4 linked regions of the Mus musculus genome follow. The protein of the gene in region 3 interacts with the protein of the main gene of each other region in a pairwise test. Links are inferred from orthologs where the notes say so. Each region holds a gene or a part of one and is shown on either strand. Other genes may lie near its edges.

The links.
Region 1: the proteins of Pom121 (region 3) and Ap2b1 interact in binary tests that used the Homo sapiens proteins (3 or more experiments, as listed by UniProt). The two-hybrid records come from large-scale screens. The link is inferred for Mus musculus from reciprocal best matches to the Homo sapiens genes POM121 and AP2B1.
Region 2: the proteins of Pom121 (region 3) and Tex11 interact in binary tests that used the Homo sapiens proteins (3 or more experiments, as listed by UniProt). The two-hybrid records come from large-scale screens. The link is inferred for Mus musculus from reciprocal best matches to the Homo sapiens genes POM121 and TEX11.
Region 4: the proteins of Pom121 (region 3) and Trip6 interact in binary tests that used the Homo sapiens proteins (3 or more experiments, as listed by UniProt). The two-hybrid records come from large-scale screens. The link is inferred for Mus musculus from reciprocal best matches to the Homo sapiens genes POM121 and TRIP6.

Annotation. Positions count from the first base shown.
Region 1 is NC_000077.6:83,301,209-83,305,553, reverse strand, and holds the start of Ap2b1 (AP-2 complex subunit beta), read right to left. Parts: upstream 2,858-4,345; 5' UTR 2,717-2,857; intron 1-2,716. UniProt on the Homo sapiens protein: Component of the adaptor protein complex 2 (AP-2). Adaptor protein complexes function in protein transport via transport vesicles in different membrane traffic pathways.
Region 2 is NC_000086.7:101,056,788-101,060,860, forward strand, and holds the start of Tex11 (testis-expressed protein 11), read right to left. Parts: upstream 2,853-4,073; 5' UTR 2,726-2,852; intron 2,631-2,725; 5' UTR 2,609-2,630; coding exon 2,569-2,608; intron 1-2,568. UniProt on the Homo sapiens protein: Regulator of crossing-over during meiosis. Involved in initiation and/or maintenance of chromosome synapsis and formation of crossovers.
Region 3 is NC_000071.6:135,391,695-135,395,858, reverse strand, and holds the start of Pom121 (nuclear envelope pore membrane protein POM 121), read left to right. Parts: upstream 1-1,312; 5' UTR 1,313-1,353; coding exon 1,354-1,922; intron 1,923-3,333; coding exon 3,334-3,549; intron 3,550-4,078; coding exon 4,079-4,164. UniProt on the Homo sapiens protein: Essential component of the nuclear pore complex (NPC). The repeat-containing domain may be involved in anchoring components of the pore complex to the pore membrane. When overexpressed in cells induces the formation of cytoplasmic annulate lamellae (AL).
Region 4 is NC_000071.6:137,311,399-137,315,444, forward strand, and holds the start of Trip6 (thyroid receptor-interacting protein 6), read right to left. Parts: upstream 2,844-4,046; 5' UTR 2,671-2,843; coding exon 2,562-2,670; intron 2,311-2,561; coding exon 2,183-2,310; intron 2,079-2,182; coding exon 1,953-2,078; intron 1,692-1,952; coding exon 1,308-1,691; intron 836-1,307; coding exon 742-835; intron 646-741; coding exon 476-645; intron 1-475. Other genes in the region: Slc12a9 (solute carrier family 12 member 9), read right to left, coding at 3,553-4,046. UniProt on the Homo sapiens protein: Relays signals from the cell surface to the nucleus to weaken adherens junction and promote actin cytoskeleton reorganization and cell invasiveness. Involved in lysophosphatidic acid-induced cell adhesion and migration.

The sequences.
Region 1 (4,345 bases), on a different chromosome or scaffold from region 3:
TCAAAAGGGGGAGAGGAAGGAAAAAAAAAAAGCAGGTAAATATATCACTCATTTAACTGACACCATAGCCAATAATTGTGATGAAATAATCACCATCATACAGGCAAAGAAAAAAGGTATCCAGTCTATCCTTGCTTTAAGGGGGTGGGAGGGACAAGGAAAAATGAAAATAGTCTAAACAAAAGCAACAGTAGAAAGGAAGGATGGGGGCAGGGATGGCCTGGATCGAAACACATTATATACTTGCATGAATTTTAAGTATTTAATTAAAAGGAGAAGAGGTGGTAATGACAGAACTTTAATGTCCCCGTGACTTTCAACTCACAATGACATATAACTATTTTTTAATCCAAGCCCCCCACACTTGCCGGATAGACACTGATGCCTATAGTAGAAGACACACACACATAAGACACACACACACAAGCCACAAGAGAACGGGAAAAACACAATTTCAACTTGCCTAGTGCTTCAAAACTCAATCTTACTGGGGCAAATTTTTGTTTTTCAGGAAATCCCTAGAAATAAACAAGCCACAATGGAATTTGAACGTACACAATCTTATACGACATGAAACCTGAAAGGTCACTGACTGACTTATCGTGTGGCCTGGGGACATTGTTAAAGGACAGAGCAGCCACAGGGCAAGGCAAGGATCCTTGGACTTGTCCTAGTCCACAGCATTGCTCCACTGCCTTTCCCAGGCCTCCCTGTACAAGGTTATATATCTAGATTAACATAACCTAGTTTCTGATAAATATAGGTTGTCGAAGTCCTTTCTCTCCTTCCAGCCTTCCCTTCCTCCAATTCCCCAAAAGAGCAGCTCAGCAGTGAAACAAGATTAATAGGCTGGGTAGAATACAGTCAGAAAAAAAAAATTATAAGGTCTTAATTTCAAATGGTTCTCTGGAAAATGGCAGCCAGCGTTAGCACTAGCAAGACCACTGTGCCCTCCTTTGCACATGAAGTCAATACTAGCCAGAGTTCAGTAAATTCTAAAGCAGAAAGTCATTCCAGTCACCTCTGCTTACAAGGATGAGTGGTATAAAGACCATTGCTGGCCAGATGTTCATAACATAAGGACAGCAGCAGCCTCAGATTAATTTAGCTTGTCAGAAATAAAACGTTAAAAGCTAAATCCACCTCTGGCTTCTATTTAAATAACTACAAGTTAATTTATTAATATAGGATTATACGGAAAGAAAGAAGCCCAACAGTCTTACACCCAACTGTTATGAAATGCCAGGACATTTTGGAAAACTTAAGCCCAGGAGGAAAGAAGAAAAATGGGGATGCTATCCTCCTTCTGAATGCCCCTTGTCTAACATGGTTCAAATGTGTGCCTTGAGACGAAAGCAAAATCTTTTCCAGAAGAAAAGGATGCGAGGGACCTCTCTGATCTTAATTCATCAGGATATTTACTCTGTTTTAATTTACCACACAACTTGACTGAGCTGTTTGCAGCGCACACTCCCCTCTCTTTCTCAGGGAGTCTACCCTGCAAGGCACCTACTCAGTTCTCAGTTTACATGCCCGCCCGCCTCACTTAGTCATCACTGGAATGTGTTACCGATGGCTGCACCTACTTCACCTGCCGCTTTCTATTATTACCTTGTAAGTGCACCCTAAGGCTAAGCAGTGAACTGCACAGGAGAGCAGTTAATAATTTAAATTGTTCCTCTCTAAGAGACCACCTTCCTTCTTAGTCACTAGCCTTACTGAGCTTACAGTGTGTTCTTTGTCTTTTAAACCACAAAGGTTGCAAAAAAAAAAAAAAAGTTTGGCCACTAAAATAAAAGAAAAAAAAATCTCCCTTCTAAAAGTAAAAAAATTCAGCGAAGCATCCATGACACATTCACACTGCTTCATAACTAAATTGCTTGAGTTTAATAAGAGCCTTCTCCTAAAAAGAGGGCTGCTCAAAAAGCTAATACATCCTGTGAATTCAAAGAATAAAGAAATAGCAGGAAATTCCAGGGTTTTGTTTTGTTTTTTTTTTTTCACTTCTAGTAGAATTTACAGCCTTGCCCAAACTAGACTGCTCCTGATAACCCCAGGGAATATAGGGAGGGGGGAAAAAAAAAAGAAAAACAAAATTCCATGCTAAGATTTATTTTCCCCTCTTACACAGAGGGTGGGGGTGGCCTCAATTATGCAGGTTTCTCCTTCCTTCCTCGAAGTACAGTTAGTCCCCATTCTCTTTATCCACTTCCCCAGGTCAAGAAATCTGTCCAATTTTCACTAGGTAAGGAGAGATGCCTCTTAACCCCAAATACGTGCGACAAGAGAGGTTTCAGTGACCAAACGGTCGCGGGAATCCCTTCTCCCTAGTCGTGGAGACACGTCGGAGCTTCTTTCTCAATGAACAGATGTCAAACGGGAGAGCTGGGTGGTTCTCCCTCGGCCTCCAGCGGCCACACCCCTGGCCTGAGCCTTCCCCAAGCCGGTCTTCGGAACCTTGCTTCGCTCCGAAGCCCCCAACTCCCGCTGCTACACCGGAGCGCAGCCCCAGGCCACCACGGTCACTACGATGGAGGCACTTTCTCCCAGCTTTTCCCTCACAACGGTCACACCCGAGGACTCCTTCCACCCTCAACCGTCACGCTCCTCGGCTCTCCTTTCCTCCTGAGCCTATGACCCGGCTTGGGGCTCCCCTCCCTCACAAGCACCGCGAGTCAGTCAGGGCACACCCCAAAGCCAGCCGCCTTGAACTCACCGGAGGCAAGGGCGGGGTGGCGGCGGCGGCGGCGGCAGTCGGAGAGCACAGCCGGGGTGGTGGTGTAATGGTTTCCTGCCCGTCACGATTCTCTCTAGATCTAAGCCACTGCGCAAAACCCAATTTGCCAGGGACAAAGATGGTGAGCCGGAAGCTTTGGCGTAAGAGAATCTCGCCGCCTGACGTCATCTGGGTGCGCGGGAGAACCAAACGGCCAGGTCGTGTCTGTCGCCTCAGCAACGGAAAGGTTTCCCTGTCTCAGGGATAGGGCAGTTGCCTATACACTCAGGAGACCCGCAGTTGCTTTCCCACCGGATATCTTCAATAAGTGGGTATTTTCGGGATTTATTCCCGTGAACAAGATTTTTGTGAAACCTGTGTGAGATATCCTATTTGCTCAAACACAAACCTCAGCTAATTTGCTTGTAAGGTTAAGAAGCCCATAGAGGTGATAGAAACCAGGACTACAGACGGACGGATGAACTAGGAGACGGCGACTCAAAGATGGCTAAGAAGCATTCAGATCTGAGTTTGAATCCCTACATTGAACAAGACTGGAGAAACTTATTAGCGCCCCCTTCCTGCCCCGCCCTTAGGCTTGAGTGGTATAAGGTACCTAAAACAGGTTGTGGATACAGGTTTCATTAGGAAACTATAAACTGGTACAGGCGTTTAGTTACCATGTCCAGCTTCAAAAGAAAAGAAAGACCAACGTCGGGCTGTGTAACTCAGACAAGCCTAAAACTAAGCCCTCTTGCTTCTTTCTGCCTCTAGAGCACTTTGAACTTCTCTATCTATATACCTAGACTCCAAGGCTTAGTGGTGCTTCTAACCAGGCACCCCTCACTCTACTATTGAACAATCTTTTTTTTTTCATTTTGTTTTTTAATGTGCATTGGTGTTTTGCCTGCATGTATGTATGTGAGAGAGTGTTCCCCTGGAACTGGAATTTCAGACAGCTGTGAGCTGCTATGCGGGAGCTGGTAACAAAATCCAGGTCCTTTGAAAGAGCAGCTAGTGATCTTAACCACTGAACCATCTCTCCAGCCGCCAGATTTGAAACTTAAAAAACTCATGGTAGGACTGGAGAGATGACTCAGTGTTTAAGAGCACTGGCTGCTCTTCCAGAGGTCTTGAGTTCAATTCCCAGGCAATCCCATGATGGGTCACAACCATCTGTAATGGGATCTGATGCCCTCTTCTGGTGTCTGAAGGCAGCTACAGTGTACTTGTGTACATTAAAAAAAAAAAATAAATCTTTATATATTAAAAACAAAAAACTCAAGGCAACTGGGTGTGGTGGCACAAGCCTTTAACCTCAGCAATCAAGAGGCAGAGGTAAGTTGATCTTTGTGAGTTCAAGGCCAGCCTGGTCTACAATGTGAATTCCTGGACAGCCCGGGCTACACAGAAAACTGTCTTTGAAAAACAAAACAGATGACTTAACCCAATTACATTTATTTACTGAGCATCTATTAAATAATTTCCTATGTAACTTACATTTAATATATACTTAAGATCTCCAAACCTGATGGTCAGGCTTAGCCTTTAATGCCTTCTAATAGAAAGGTTAATCATGTGCCTTCTATTAGACTACACATTTGAGACTGGGGTTTTTAATGCATTATT
Region 2 (4,073 bases), on a different chromosome or scaffold from region 3:
TTCTGACCTCTGCAGGCACCAGGCACACAGATAATGCACAGATGGACATGCAATCAAAATACCCTTACATATAAAATAAAAATAAGTGAATCTTTTTAAAATTAATTTCATCTATTTATTTATACTGTTTAATGTGTCTACTAGAATATTTTAAATTAGGCAGTGGTGGCACACGCCTTTAATCCCAGCACTTGAGAGGCAGAAGCAAGCGGATTTCTGAGTTCGAGGCCAGCCTGGTCTACAGAGTGAGTTCCAGGACAGCCAGGGCTACACAGAGAAACCCTGTCTCGAAAAACCATTAAAAAAAAGAATATTTTAAATTAAATATGTAGCTCATTAATTTCTACTAGGCAGGGGCTGGTATTGCATACAACTATATTCAAGGTTTTTTAAATACATTTTTGGCAGTTTCATTTTATATCCTAAGGGGGCCTCAAATTCACTATGTAGTTCAGGATACCCTTAAACTCACAATCCTCCTGTGTTAGCGTCTGGGAGTGATGAGATTACAGGTATACACCACCACACCCAGCTCGATTTTCAAAAGACTTTATAGAATGAGCAATCATAAATACATCAGTAAAAGAAAATATAAACTTGGATATTATAATAATAAATCACAAGGGCATCTATATAACAACAAACTAAAGAAGCTAAAAGTCCAAACAAAGGAAAATAAGAATTTGTCTCCAAACCTACCATATGAAAAGGTATATGTGAAGCTTACTCAAGGCATGGTCTCATTATACTGCCTAGGATGGCCTCAAACTAGCCTCCTATCTTTCAGGAATTGCTTGTGTGTGTGTGTGTGTGTGTGTGTGTGTGTGTGTGTGTGTGTGTCTGTGTGTATGTTTGTGTGTTTCCGCACACGTGTGCACTTATAAGTGCATATGTGTAACATGTCACCAGTATAGAGGTCAGAAGACAATCTTCCAGAATTTCTTCTCTCCTTGCACCATGTGGATCCCAGGGATCAACTCGGGACACCAGGCTTGGTGGCCAGCATCTTTACTGGCTAAGCCATCTCACCTGCCCTTACAGTTAGTTTTTCTAACAGTAAATAAATTTTAAATTTCTTAAAGATAAACTTCTTTATAGCCCTGAGGTTGAATGGCTTGTGGATGGCAGCATTTTTTTTTCTGAAAAAAATCATTTTACAAGCAGAACATACAATACTTCGTTGCCTTGATACTATAGAAGCAAATATGCTCGTTCCTCAAACCCCTGCCTTAGAGGCAAGCTAACTGCCCTTATTCAGGCCTTACAATTAGGACAAGATAAGATCTTAACAGCCGCATCATCTCCAAGAATAAGTTTATATTGTTAGCTGCCCATCTGCTTGCAACAACTTCCTGAATGTCCTTTTTTTTTTTTTTTTTTTTTTTTGGTTTTTCGAGACAGGGTTTCTCTGTGTAGCCCTGGCTGTACTGGAACTCACTCTGTAGATCAGGCTGGCCTCGAACTCAGAAATCCACCTGCCTCTGCCTCCCAAGTGCTGGGATTACAGGGATGCGCCACCACTGCCCAGCTTAAATATACTTTTTACACAGTATTTTTTCAGGTTAAACAGTATGATTCCGCATCTCCTAAAATTCCTGGGGAAAAGCTATAGATTATGACCAGAAAATAAGCTATGGATTGTCAATTTTGTTTCCTTACACTAGTTCATAAAAGGTTCCAAATATTATTTCTGGTACATACATGAGGAAAACTGGTGCACTGAGTACTGTGAAAAGACAAACTTATGAGACAAACTGCACTGCTGGGCCTCCACTCCAGGGATTTACATGTGGAAGGCAAACACTGCCACAGAGCTCTCTCCGAGCTTGTTTTCATTTTGTTTGGTTTTGTTTTGGGAAACAATATTTGAGGTGTTGCTCCAGCCTTAGTCTTACAAATGCTGGGATTATAGGCCAGGTGTGGTGTTTGACACCTGCACTCTGGAAGCTTAGGTAGGAAGATTGCAAGTTTGAGGATAGCCTGGGCTACATAAAGTTCTAGGTCAGCCTGAGACACAGAGTAAAAACTCTGTCTCAAGAAGCCAAAGAGGAAGCCAGGCGGTGGTGGCAGAGGCAGGCGGATTTCTGAGTTCGAGGCCAGCCTGGTCTACAGAGTGAGTTCCAGGACAGCCAGGGCTACACAGAGAAACCCTGTCTTGAAAAAAAAAAAAAAGCCAAAAAGGGGCTCTTCCAGTCTCTTTGGCCTCGGAGGTAGAAGCAACATGACAAAAGGAACGGCATCCTTTGGAAAGCATCCCAAAAACAGGCACACATTGTACCGCCGGTCTCCGTGGCTCTAAGGACGACCACTATCAGAAATCTATCTGTGGCAAACGTGGCTACCCTGCCAAGCGCAAGCAAAAGTCTAACTGCAGTGCCAAGGCTAAGAGACGAAGTACTGCAGAGACTGGGCGGATGAGACACCTTAAAATTGTCTATGGGAGATTCAGACATGGATTTCATAAAGGAACAACACCGAAACCCAAAAGGGCAGCCGTTGCAGCAACCAGTTCATCTCGAGGATTTCAATCAGTCATAAAATAAATGTTATCATACAAAGCTTGCTTACCTCTGAAGTCCAAGAAGTAAAAGTCAGTAATGCGGTCCATTTTTTAAATGTCTGGCTCCAGCCTATGGAACACGAATATATTTTAATATTCTGTCCTCAAGTCTCTAATTTCTCAAAAAGACACTTCTGCCAGAAAACTATACCCATTACTTATTACCTGAAGGTGCAGGGACGTTGAGGAAGCTGCAAATCCAGGAGAAAGTTGTTAAACAGGGAGGCGTCTGCTCTCCCACACCCGAAACGCTTGCTGGCGTCTCGCGTCTCCGACTCCGTCTCCGTCTCTCCGTCTCTGGTGGCCCGAAGCCGAGGCCGGAAGGAGAGATTCACGCTTTACCAGAGAGTCACGCTCTGTGATTGGTCTGTCTGTCACTCAGTGCCCCGCCCTCGTCGTGCAGACAGAATGAGTCACGCTCTGTGATTGGTCTGATTCAATGTTCAAAAACTCTCGTGCGCATCCCATCGGCCCCTCGTTCTTGGATGCGGTTTTTTTGGCGCCTTCTTTCCCGCTCTTGCACGCCTTTCCGCTAACAGTCACTGAATTGGCGCTGAGCTTCCCGCCGTCCATAACCCACCACCACCCCCCATCATTTAAATGACCAACTTCCGCTGCCCACAAACTTCTCGTTCCAAAGATATTGCCTCAAAGCATCTCTAAGAAGTGGCGCAGCACTTGGGAGGCAGAGGCAGGTGGATTTCTGAGTTCGAGGCCAGCCTGGTGTGAGTTCCAGGACAGCCAGGGCTATACAGAGAAACCCTGTCTCGAAAAACCAGAAAGAAAAAAAAAAGTATGTTCAAATGTCTGTTTCTTCTTGCTAGTTCTAAAACCTGGGCTGCAGATGTGGGGTCCCGAGTTCGATAACACACACACTTGAAGCTCTGATGTCATAACACACACACATACACACTCATACATATACAAGATGAACGAAACCACCTGACAAGACCGGAGCACTTGCTATCCATTAAAAAGCTCCCCGTCTCTGCTTCTCGTCAAAAGCCACTCCCGTTTGGCCTTTACGGTATATTGATCCTCCGCCTTGGAATCCTGTCTAGATTCTCTATATTGGATAAAACCAGAACAAGACTATCAGGACAAGGTCTATGATGTAAGACCAAAAGTGCACTGCCCTTAAAGGAAAGGACAGATGGCCAGGATTACAGAAAGAAAAGAATAAGAATTCACACACATGCACACTACAAAGATGGCGGAGGAATAGTAGACAGCGCTGCTCAGTGTTTCAAACTGGCAAGGTATCCCAACACAGTAGCACAGGCTTGTAAAGTCTCAGCAGTCAGAGGCTAAAGCAAGAGAATCCCTTGAGCCCGGGCATTCTGGATCAGCTCAGAAGCGTAGCAAAACCCCAGCAAAGAAATAAGTAAGTCGTGTCAAAATTCAGAAAAATAAGAAATTGTGCACTCTGAGCCAGGCGTGGTGGCGCACGCCGCACACCTTTAATTCCAGCACTTGGGAGGCAGAGGCAGGCAGATTTCTGAGTCCGAGGCCA
Region 3 (4,164 bases):
TTATTAACAATATGCATCGTCTCTAAACTCTAATCCCTGCCTCTCCCCGCTTCTCCCTCATCCATCTAGCCTTCCCTCCCCAAGTCTAGTCTTATCTTACTCTTGATTGTGGAGGAATAGCTCTCAGTCTATCATCCTCAAAAAAAGAAGAAACAAACAAAAGGAGGAACGGAGGGAAGGATGGAAAGGGGGGAAATATGGACTGGGAAGATGGTTCCATTGGTACAGGGCTTGCTGAGCAAGCTTGCTTGAGCACAGTAGGAGCCCCTGTAATCCCAAGCACTGAGGTAGGCACAAAAAGATTTTGGGTCTTTTTGGCCAGCCAGCCTAGCCAGGTTGGTGAGCTCTGGGTTTAGTGAGAGACCCTGTGTCAAAGAATAATGTGCAGTGTAATTGAGAAAGACTTGCTGGGCGGTGGTGGTGCACGCCTTTAATCCCAGCACTTGGGAGGCAGAGGCAGGTGGATTTCTGAGTTCCAGGCCAGCCTGGTCTACAGAGTGAGTTCCAGGACAGCCAGGTCTATACAGAGAAACCCTGTCTCGAGAAACAACAACAAAGAAAAGAAAAAAAGGAGATTGAAAGACACTTGCCGTTGACCCTCAACCTCCACGCAAGTGTAAGATGTGATGGTGTGAATGTAATCCCAGCATACATTCAAGCAAAACACACATTTTAAAAAATTATTTTGAGACAGGGTCTCACTGTGTTGCTCCAGCAGGCCTGGAACTGACCTCGCTGCGATAAACAGTGAGCCTCCACACAGGGCCTGATTGGCCTTTTCCAATACAGGGTCTGACTGATCGGGTTTTATTTTGTTTTAGACGGGGAGGGTCTCACTAAGTAGCCCAGGTTGACTTAGAACTCGGGATCCTCCTGCCTTCACCTCCCAAATGCCGGGATTACAGGCGCGTGCCACCCATCTCCGTTCTGTGCCTTGATTTCTAACATCACTCCTCTGCAGTCCAGGAGCGTCAGGGAAACCTCCAGCGTCAAAAACCGGGCTGTACTTTTCTTCTTTTCTTTCTTTCTTTTTTTTTTTTTTTAAGTTTTGCTGTTTTGAGACAGGCTTTATGTCTCCATGTCGCGCTGGAACTGTCTTTGTGAACCAGGCTGGACTCAAACTCACGGAACTCCTCTTGCCTCCGCCTCCCGCGTTCTGAGAGGCAAGGCGTGCACCGATCCGCCTACCTAAGCTGTAATTTTTCAAACTAGGGCTCTCGCGCCGTGCTCCGCACGCGGCGGCGGTTTCCCCTTTCCACCCGGCGCGCCGCGTCGACGACAGTGACGTCGGCGGCGGCGCGCGGCGCGGTGTACCCTGGGATATTTAAGTCCGCTCCGCGGCGCGGAGCCGCGATGTCTCCGGCGGCTGCGGCGGCTGACGGAGGCGAGCGGCGGCGGCCCCCGTTGGGCGGACGGGAAGGCCGGAGCCGGGCCCGCGGCTACGGAGGACCGGCGGGTGCTGCGGCCCTCGGCCTAGCGCTGCTCGGCCTCGCGCTCTACCTGGTGCCCGCGGCGGCCGCGCTGGCCTGGCTGGCCGTGGGGGCGAGCGCGGCCTGGTGGGGCCTGAGCCGAGAACCCCGCGGCCCGAGGGCCCTGTCGTCCTTCGTGCGCGACGCGCGCCGTCACCCGCGGCCAGCTCTCACCGCTTCACCGCCTCCGGCCAAGTCACCAGTCAACGGTAGCCTCTGCGAACCCCGCAGCCCGCTGGGAGGCCCCGACCCGGCTGAGCTCTTACTCATGGGCAGCTACCTGGGCAAGCCCGGCCCGCCCGAGCCTGCCCTCCGGCAGGACCCAAGGGAGAGGCCGGGGCGCCGCCCACCCGCACGCTCCCCGCCTCCGGCCTCGGCGGTCCAGCGAGTCCACCACGTCTACCCCGCGCTCCCCACCCCGCTTTTGCGACCCTCCCGGAGGCCGCCCCACCGGTAAGCCCCGGCGATCTTCCCAGGGTGGGGTCTCTGCGGCCGCGGATTTGACGTAGGGCTCAACCTGTAAATCGGATTTAACTCACCTCCCCTTTTTCTTTTCTTTGCCTTTTCCCTTTCTTTTTATCTCTACGCCCTTCCCTCCCTTTTCCCATTACTCTCTTTTCTCTTTATTTTTTTTCTTTTTCTTTTTTTTTTTTTTTAAGAGAGGGTATTTGATGGCATAGGCTGTCTAATCTCAACCCCGTTCTTTGGCTGAGCCTGTCCTTGAACTCATCCTCCTGCCTCGTCTTCTGAGCGAGTTCACTGATAGGATTACAGGTTTGCACCAGGTTGTATGCTGTGCTGGGATAGAACCCACAGCTTCAGTCATAGCAGGCAAGCTTGCCCTCTACCTATTCCCCAGCCTTTGGGTTTTTGTTCCCCCCCCCCCCCCCCCCGGAGACAGGATCTCATGTATCTGAGCTGTCCCTTGAACTCATGAGGGTGACTTTGGATTGCTGACCCTCCTGCCTTCACCTACTAAATGCTGGGATTACCGGTGTGCTCCACTACACTCAACCCGGATTCTGGATAAAAGCATTTTTTTCTTTTTAAATTGCATATTCACAGGGAGATGAGAGGATAGCTTGCTGGAGTCCTTTTTCTCTTTCCACGTGAATTTGAGGTTGATCTTGGGTCTCCAGCTTGGCAGCAAGCTCCTTCACAAGACGTTTCACTGGCCTTGATAAGTCTGCTTAGTTGAGGTGGTGAATACCTGTTAATGTTTGGTTTTTGCTGTGTATTGGTGGTTAGTTGGGGGAAAGGAAAAAAAAAAAAACTATTCCTACACATCCCAACTGCATGTGCTTTTCTTCTGAAGTACCCATGTGGGCAAGGTTTCCAGTTTCCCTCTTAATTTGATGAAGTCTGTGGTAGAGACAGCCATTAAGCAACTGATATTTTCTGCCTTTGGATGAAATGGGAGAAATGTGCCAAAAAATGCTACGTTCTCTGCTGCTTAGAGAAATTTAAAGTCTGAGCTGTTAGTGTCATAGAGTGCTTTGTCCAGCATGCACACACCCCTAGTTTCTGCTACCAGCACTGTCTAACAGAAAAATAAGAGGTTGAAAGAAGTGTTAATGCCTCTTGTTTCTGCAGTCAGTTGAATTTGGTGTTCTTTTAAGACTGTGGTTCCAGACTGGAGAGATGACACAGTGGTTACTAGCACTGGCTGCTTGCTCTTCCAGAGGTCCTGAGTTCAATTCCCAGCAACCACTTGGTGGCTCATAACCATCTGTAATGGGATCCGATGCCCTCTTCTGGTGTGTCTGAAGACAGCTACAGTGTACTCATATAAATAAAATAAATTAAAAAAAAACAAAAACAAAAACTGTGGTTCCATCAAGTGTCTGTCTCCTGTTCTCCACAGAGATTGTGGGCCTTTGTCCAGTCGGTTTGTTATAACACCCCGAAGACGATATCCCATTCAGCAAGCCCAGTATTCCTTGCTTGGGGCACTTCCAACCGTCTGCTGGAATGGTGGCCATAAGAAGGCTGTGCTGTCTCCACGGAACTCCAGGATGGTGTGCAGCCCAGTGACAGTGAGGATTGCCCCTCCAGACAGCAAGCTATTCCGCTCATCAATGTGAGTACCTGTGTGTGTGTGTGTGTGTGTGTGTGTGTGTTTGTGTATACAAACTTGTGTGTGCAAGTAACCTTCTGTACCTGTGTGGACACCACCAGAAGAAGGCCTCAGGACTCTATTGCTCTCGCTTTTTTTCCTTTCAGGCCAGAGTCTCGCTGACCCTGGGGATCATGTTTGGGTCTAGCTGTTGAAGCCCCAGCTGGCCTTTTTCCCTTGGAGCTGTGTCTCTAGGGGTATGCAGGATGCCAGAGCCATTTCTCCAGTGTGCAAGCGTGCAGGCATGCACACATTCATAGACCAGGCTGGCCTAAAATTGCCTGAGTAGCTCAAGCTGTCTGGAAACTCAGGATGATCCTCCTGCTTCTCACTGTTGGGATTAAAGGCTCACGCCACCATGCCTGACCTGTAGTCATGGTAGTTTCTACACATAGATGAGCCAAGGTCTTGCTTAGCTTCTAGTTTCCGTTCTGTTCTGTATGTGCATGGGAGTTAAAATATCCTGTCTCCAGAATCTTGTCTTTCATTATAGGTCAGAGCAGATACTCGATACAACACTGTCTTCACCATCAAGTAATGCCCCAGATCCTTGTGCAAAGGAGACTGTCCTGAACGCCC
Region 4 (4,046 bases), about 1.9 Mb from region 3:
AGCTCAGTTGGTAAAGTGTTTGTCCAGCATGCACGAAGCCCTGGGTTCCATTCCTAGCACCACAAAGAACAGGTCTGGTGGCCCACACCCAGAATCCCCGTATCTCATGGATAGAAGGAGGAAATTCAAGGTCTTCCTTAGCTACACATAAGAGTCTCAGGCCAGCCTGGGACATGAGACGTATTATCTCAAAACAGCAAACAAGTAATCAAAGAAACAAAACCCAAGATGTTCCTTTGGGTGATGGACCAATTGATCTTGGGAAACCTGCGCCTTGGGCTGCCTTCAGACTTGCTCTGCAGCTCAGGCTCTCCTCCAGATAGGCCCAACTCACCACATTTAGCTTCTTCCTTCTTATACCTCACCCGACTTCCAGTCCCACCCGACTGAGTATCTGGCCCTCTCTTAGACAGGAACCTGCCTGTCTGACTTGATGCTTCATTTAGCATCCCTCTGTCACAGCCCAGCCGCTCACCACATAGCAGCTCTCACAATATGCCCGCCTCTCCACAGCATAGAAGTGCTGGCCCCGGAGCTGGGCCCGACAGGTAGAACACACAAAGCAACCAATATGGAAGACACGGTCCAGGGCCACAACCCCAGCTCCATCGCCCACCACATCTTCGCCACAGCCACCACACCGACCTGAGGACAGAGAGGAACGAGATCAGCCTCCACAGACCCACAACAGCAGATCCTCTGTCTCCTCCCTGTCTCCACCCTATCCAGCAGTCAGCTCACCAAAGTACTCCCCACTGGGAGGGTGGCTCATGTCATGCACCAGTTTCTTGGTCAGTCTCTCCAGTTCCTCTTCAGGAGGTTGGCCTAAGGGGCCCTAGAGTGAGAATTGGGGCTTTGAGGCGCTGCCTATAGTCTCAGACACCATAAATAACTCATACAGTCAGGAACCCCAAAATCTCAGAGGACATCTCTCAGAAGCTGATAGGGGGAAAGGAAGCCCCTTCCCTTTGGACATCTTGATCCTTGACCTCTGAGTACCTTAAAACTGGGATTGACTTATGCACTTATTTATATTTGAGACAGTGTCTCATATAGCCTAGGCTGGCCTGGAACCCATTATGTGCGTCAAATATGACCTTAATTTACTGATTCTCCTGCCTCTACCTCCCCCGCACTTGGTTTATACAGTGCTGGGTCTAGAACCTTGGGATTCCTGCATACTAAGCAAGCACTCTACCAACATCTCCTAAAAACAGTATCTTAAGTACTCCTCGGCCTCCACGCCACCTAATCAATGCCCAGTTACTTCCGGTGACCACAAACCACAGTGCCCAGCCCCAGCTTACCTGAGGCTCATGCCCACCTCCTCTCCCTCCTCCTGCAGGGATATGTACTCCAGAAGGTCCCTCCGGAACCCCCGGTCCTGGCTCTCGGTGGCTCCTATAGCCAGCCCCCCAGACTTCACCACGACCTGTCAGAGGAAAGTGGGGGCCTGGAAGAGGCCCAGAGGCCTGAGAGGCCCCTCGCCTGGGCAGTCCACAGCCTCTCACAGGTTGAGCCACCTTCACTTGTACAGGGAAAGCAGGGCCAGCTGGCGTGCTCGCGGTAGCATAGGAGGCTGGGGTAGGTCCACCATAGTGGGATGCTGGGAGCATCGGGGTTGGAACAGCACCTCCACTGGGCTTCAGGGAGCCTCCGCGGTAAGCATGGGGTGGGGGAGCCTCAAAAGCCTGGGAAGACAAGCAATGCAGAAACAGTAAAGCCAGACCCAAGATCCATGCGTGCCAGGTGGGAACCCCAGGGTAGCAATGACTTCTGACAAGTTCCCATGGCCTAGGCCTGCCAAGGAGGAAGTGCGTGATTCCTTGAACCAGGTGTTTATTAGTTGCAAAGAGGGTAGGTGGGCAGTGAAGAGGGTGGACTGAGGCTGAGAAGCTAGGGCAGGGAACTGGCTGAGGATGGGGAAGCAGAGACAGAACACAGGAAGTCACCTGTCTGTCTGGCCGCCTAGGTGCATGACTGCGACCCCCGTCCAGATCAGCCAACATGCTGGTGAGCGAATCTATCTCAGCATCCAGACTGCCAGGGCGGATGATCCCCCTGTCTGGAGGGAGCCCCTGAGACAGAGGGAAAGGAGGAAGAACAAATGCTGATGACACCCCCGACCTAGACTTCTTTCACCTTGACCCTGAGAGACCCTACCCTCATCTCCACTTCTCACCTGCAGGCGCTGGGGTGTTCCATGGGATCCCACCCAAGTAGGCCCCCGATCTTCCGGTACCCCCGGAGGCTGATAACAGTGTTCAGGCGGGAGGGGGCAAAAGTTGACCCTGGGGTGAGGCTGGAGTGCTAAAGGGAGAGACAGGAGGTGGGACTGGAGAAGGGTACCTCGGTAGAGCTGCCCTTCTAAGGGTGGCTCTCCTTCTTCACATTCCCGGGAGTCTGGGAATCAACCAAGAGTCAGGGAAAGTTGCACAAGAGCTGGGGCCTCTGGTTTGGGAAAGGGACAGCAGGAAGCAGGCAGGCAAGGGAGAAAAGGTGAAGGAAGGTGGCCAGCGGCTCTTCTGCTACTCCGGCGTGTGTGAGAGAGGAACACTTACTTGCTCCGTGGGCCGTTGGCGGGCCCAGGGCGCCTCTGGGCAGCGATCTCCCCTGAGGGAGTCTGGAGGGTTCTGGCTGCTTCGGGGGAAGCCAGGTGGGCCCGGACATGGTCTGGAATAGGGTTACTCCACTCCAGACAGAGGTCAGGGTCCCCACAAGCTCAGAGCCTGGAGCTCGGAGCCTTGGGCCCTTTCCCTCCCTTACTGTCCCACGCCCCGTTTGGGACTCCCGCAAAGAAACTTTTTCTGGCTTTTTTTCCTCCCTTCCTCCCCAATTTTGGAGACGACCACGCCCCCTGACGTCACCACATTCCAGGGGAGGGTCACGTGGCCCCAAGCCTTATTCTACAATCCTTCCCCTCTCTGGCCCCCTCCTGTTAAGAGAAGACCGCCCTCCTCCGGAGCCAAGCTGCAGGGTGGGCTGCAGGCCGCTCTGAGAGGCTCTGGCCCAGCAATTCTCTCGGATCCCTGCCCCAGTCTTGCACGTGGCAGCCTCTCGGCCCAGGCTCTGAACGCATCTGTCTCCACCCCCTCACGGTTCTCTCCCTTCCCACCCGGCTGCCTCTCACCTACCCACCAGCAGTGCTCCACCAGCCCATAGTGTTTCGGTCTTTTATTTATGGTCAGTAGTTAGAAAAATAAAACAAAACACAAACATCACCACCCAAGGAAGTCGGGGAGAGGGAGGCGGTGCGTCTGTGGCCAGGATGGGGACACTGAGGTAGCCTAGAGTCACAGAAGAGGCCAGCCCCTCTGGTCAAGGCACCAGTGAAGGAAGCGGAGGAAGACCAGGGACAGGGCCGCAATGTCCTCCCCTACAATGGGGCAGCCACCTAGAATTAGTGTACTATGTCCGTTCCCCCGCCCAAAGGAGACCATGGTCCCCTTAACACATCATCCAAAGGGCAGGGCCCACTTGGGGCGGGGGGAGGGGCGTCCATTGCTCAGAATGAGCCTGGGCCCGCTCTATCCAACCCTGTATGAACAGGCATCAGAGATCAGTGCAGGTTACCGGAGTGACCCCGTGAATAAGAAGGGTGGGACCCAGATCACGGCTCAGGGTCTCCAGCAGTGCCAGGTATCTGGGGTAGCGAGCAGGATCAGCAGGCGGTCGAGGCAGGTACAGGAAGGTAAGGGCTGTGGTGGGTCCCTCCTCCCCATCCCTTCCTTCGGGTCCCCCAGGGCCTCCTACGGTGCCTCGCCCCTGCTGTGCTCGCACCAGGGCATTGGCACTGCAAGCTAGAGCCTCAGCCTCTTCGTCTCCTCGACCACCATTCACAAAGTCCCCTTCCTCCTCCTCAGGCTCGCCAGTCTCTGCCCCTTCACCCCACACCACCTCTTGCACCTCTGCCCGGATCCTGAGTTGACTCAACAGGGCCCGAAGCCTTCCCTCTGCTGCCCCAGGAGCCTCCCTGGGCCCCAAGCACAGGAAGATCCGGAGCCGGGCACTGTGCCAGGCAGGCACCATGCTTAAGATGGTAGCCA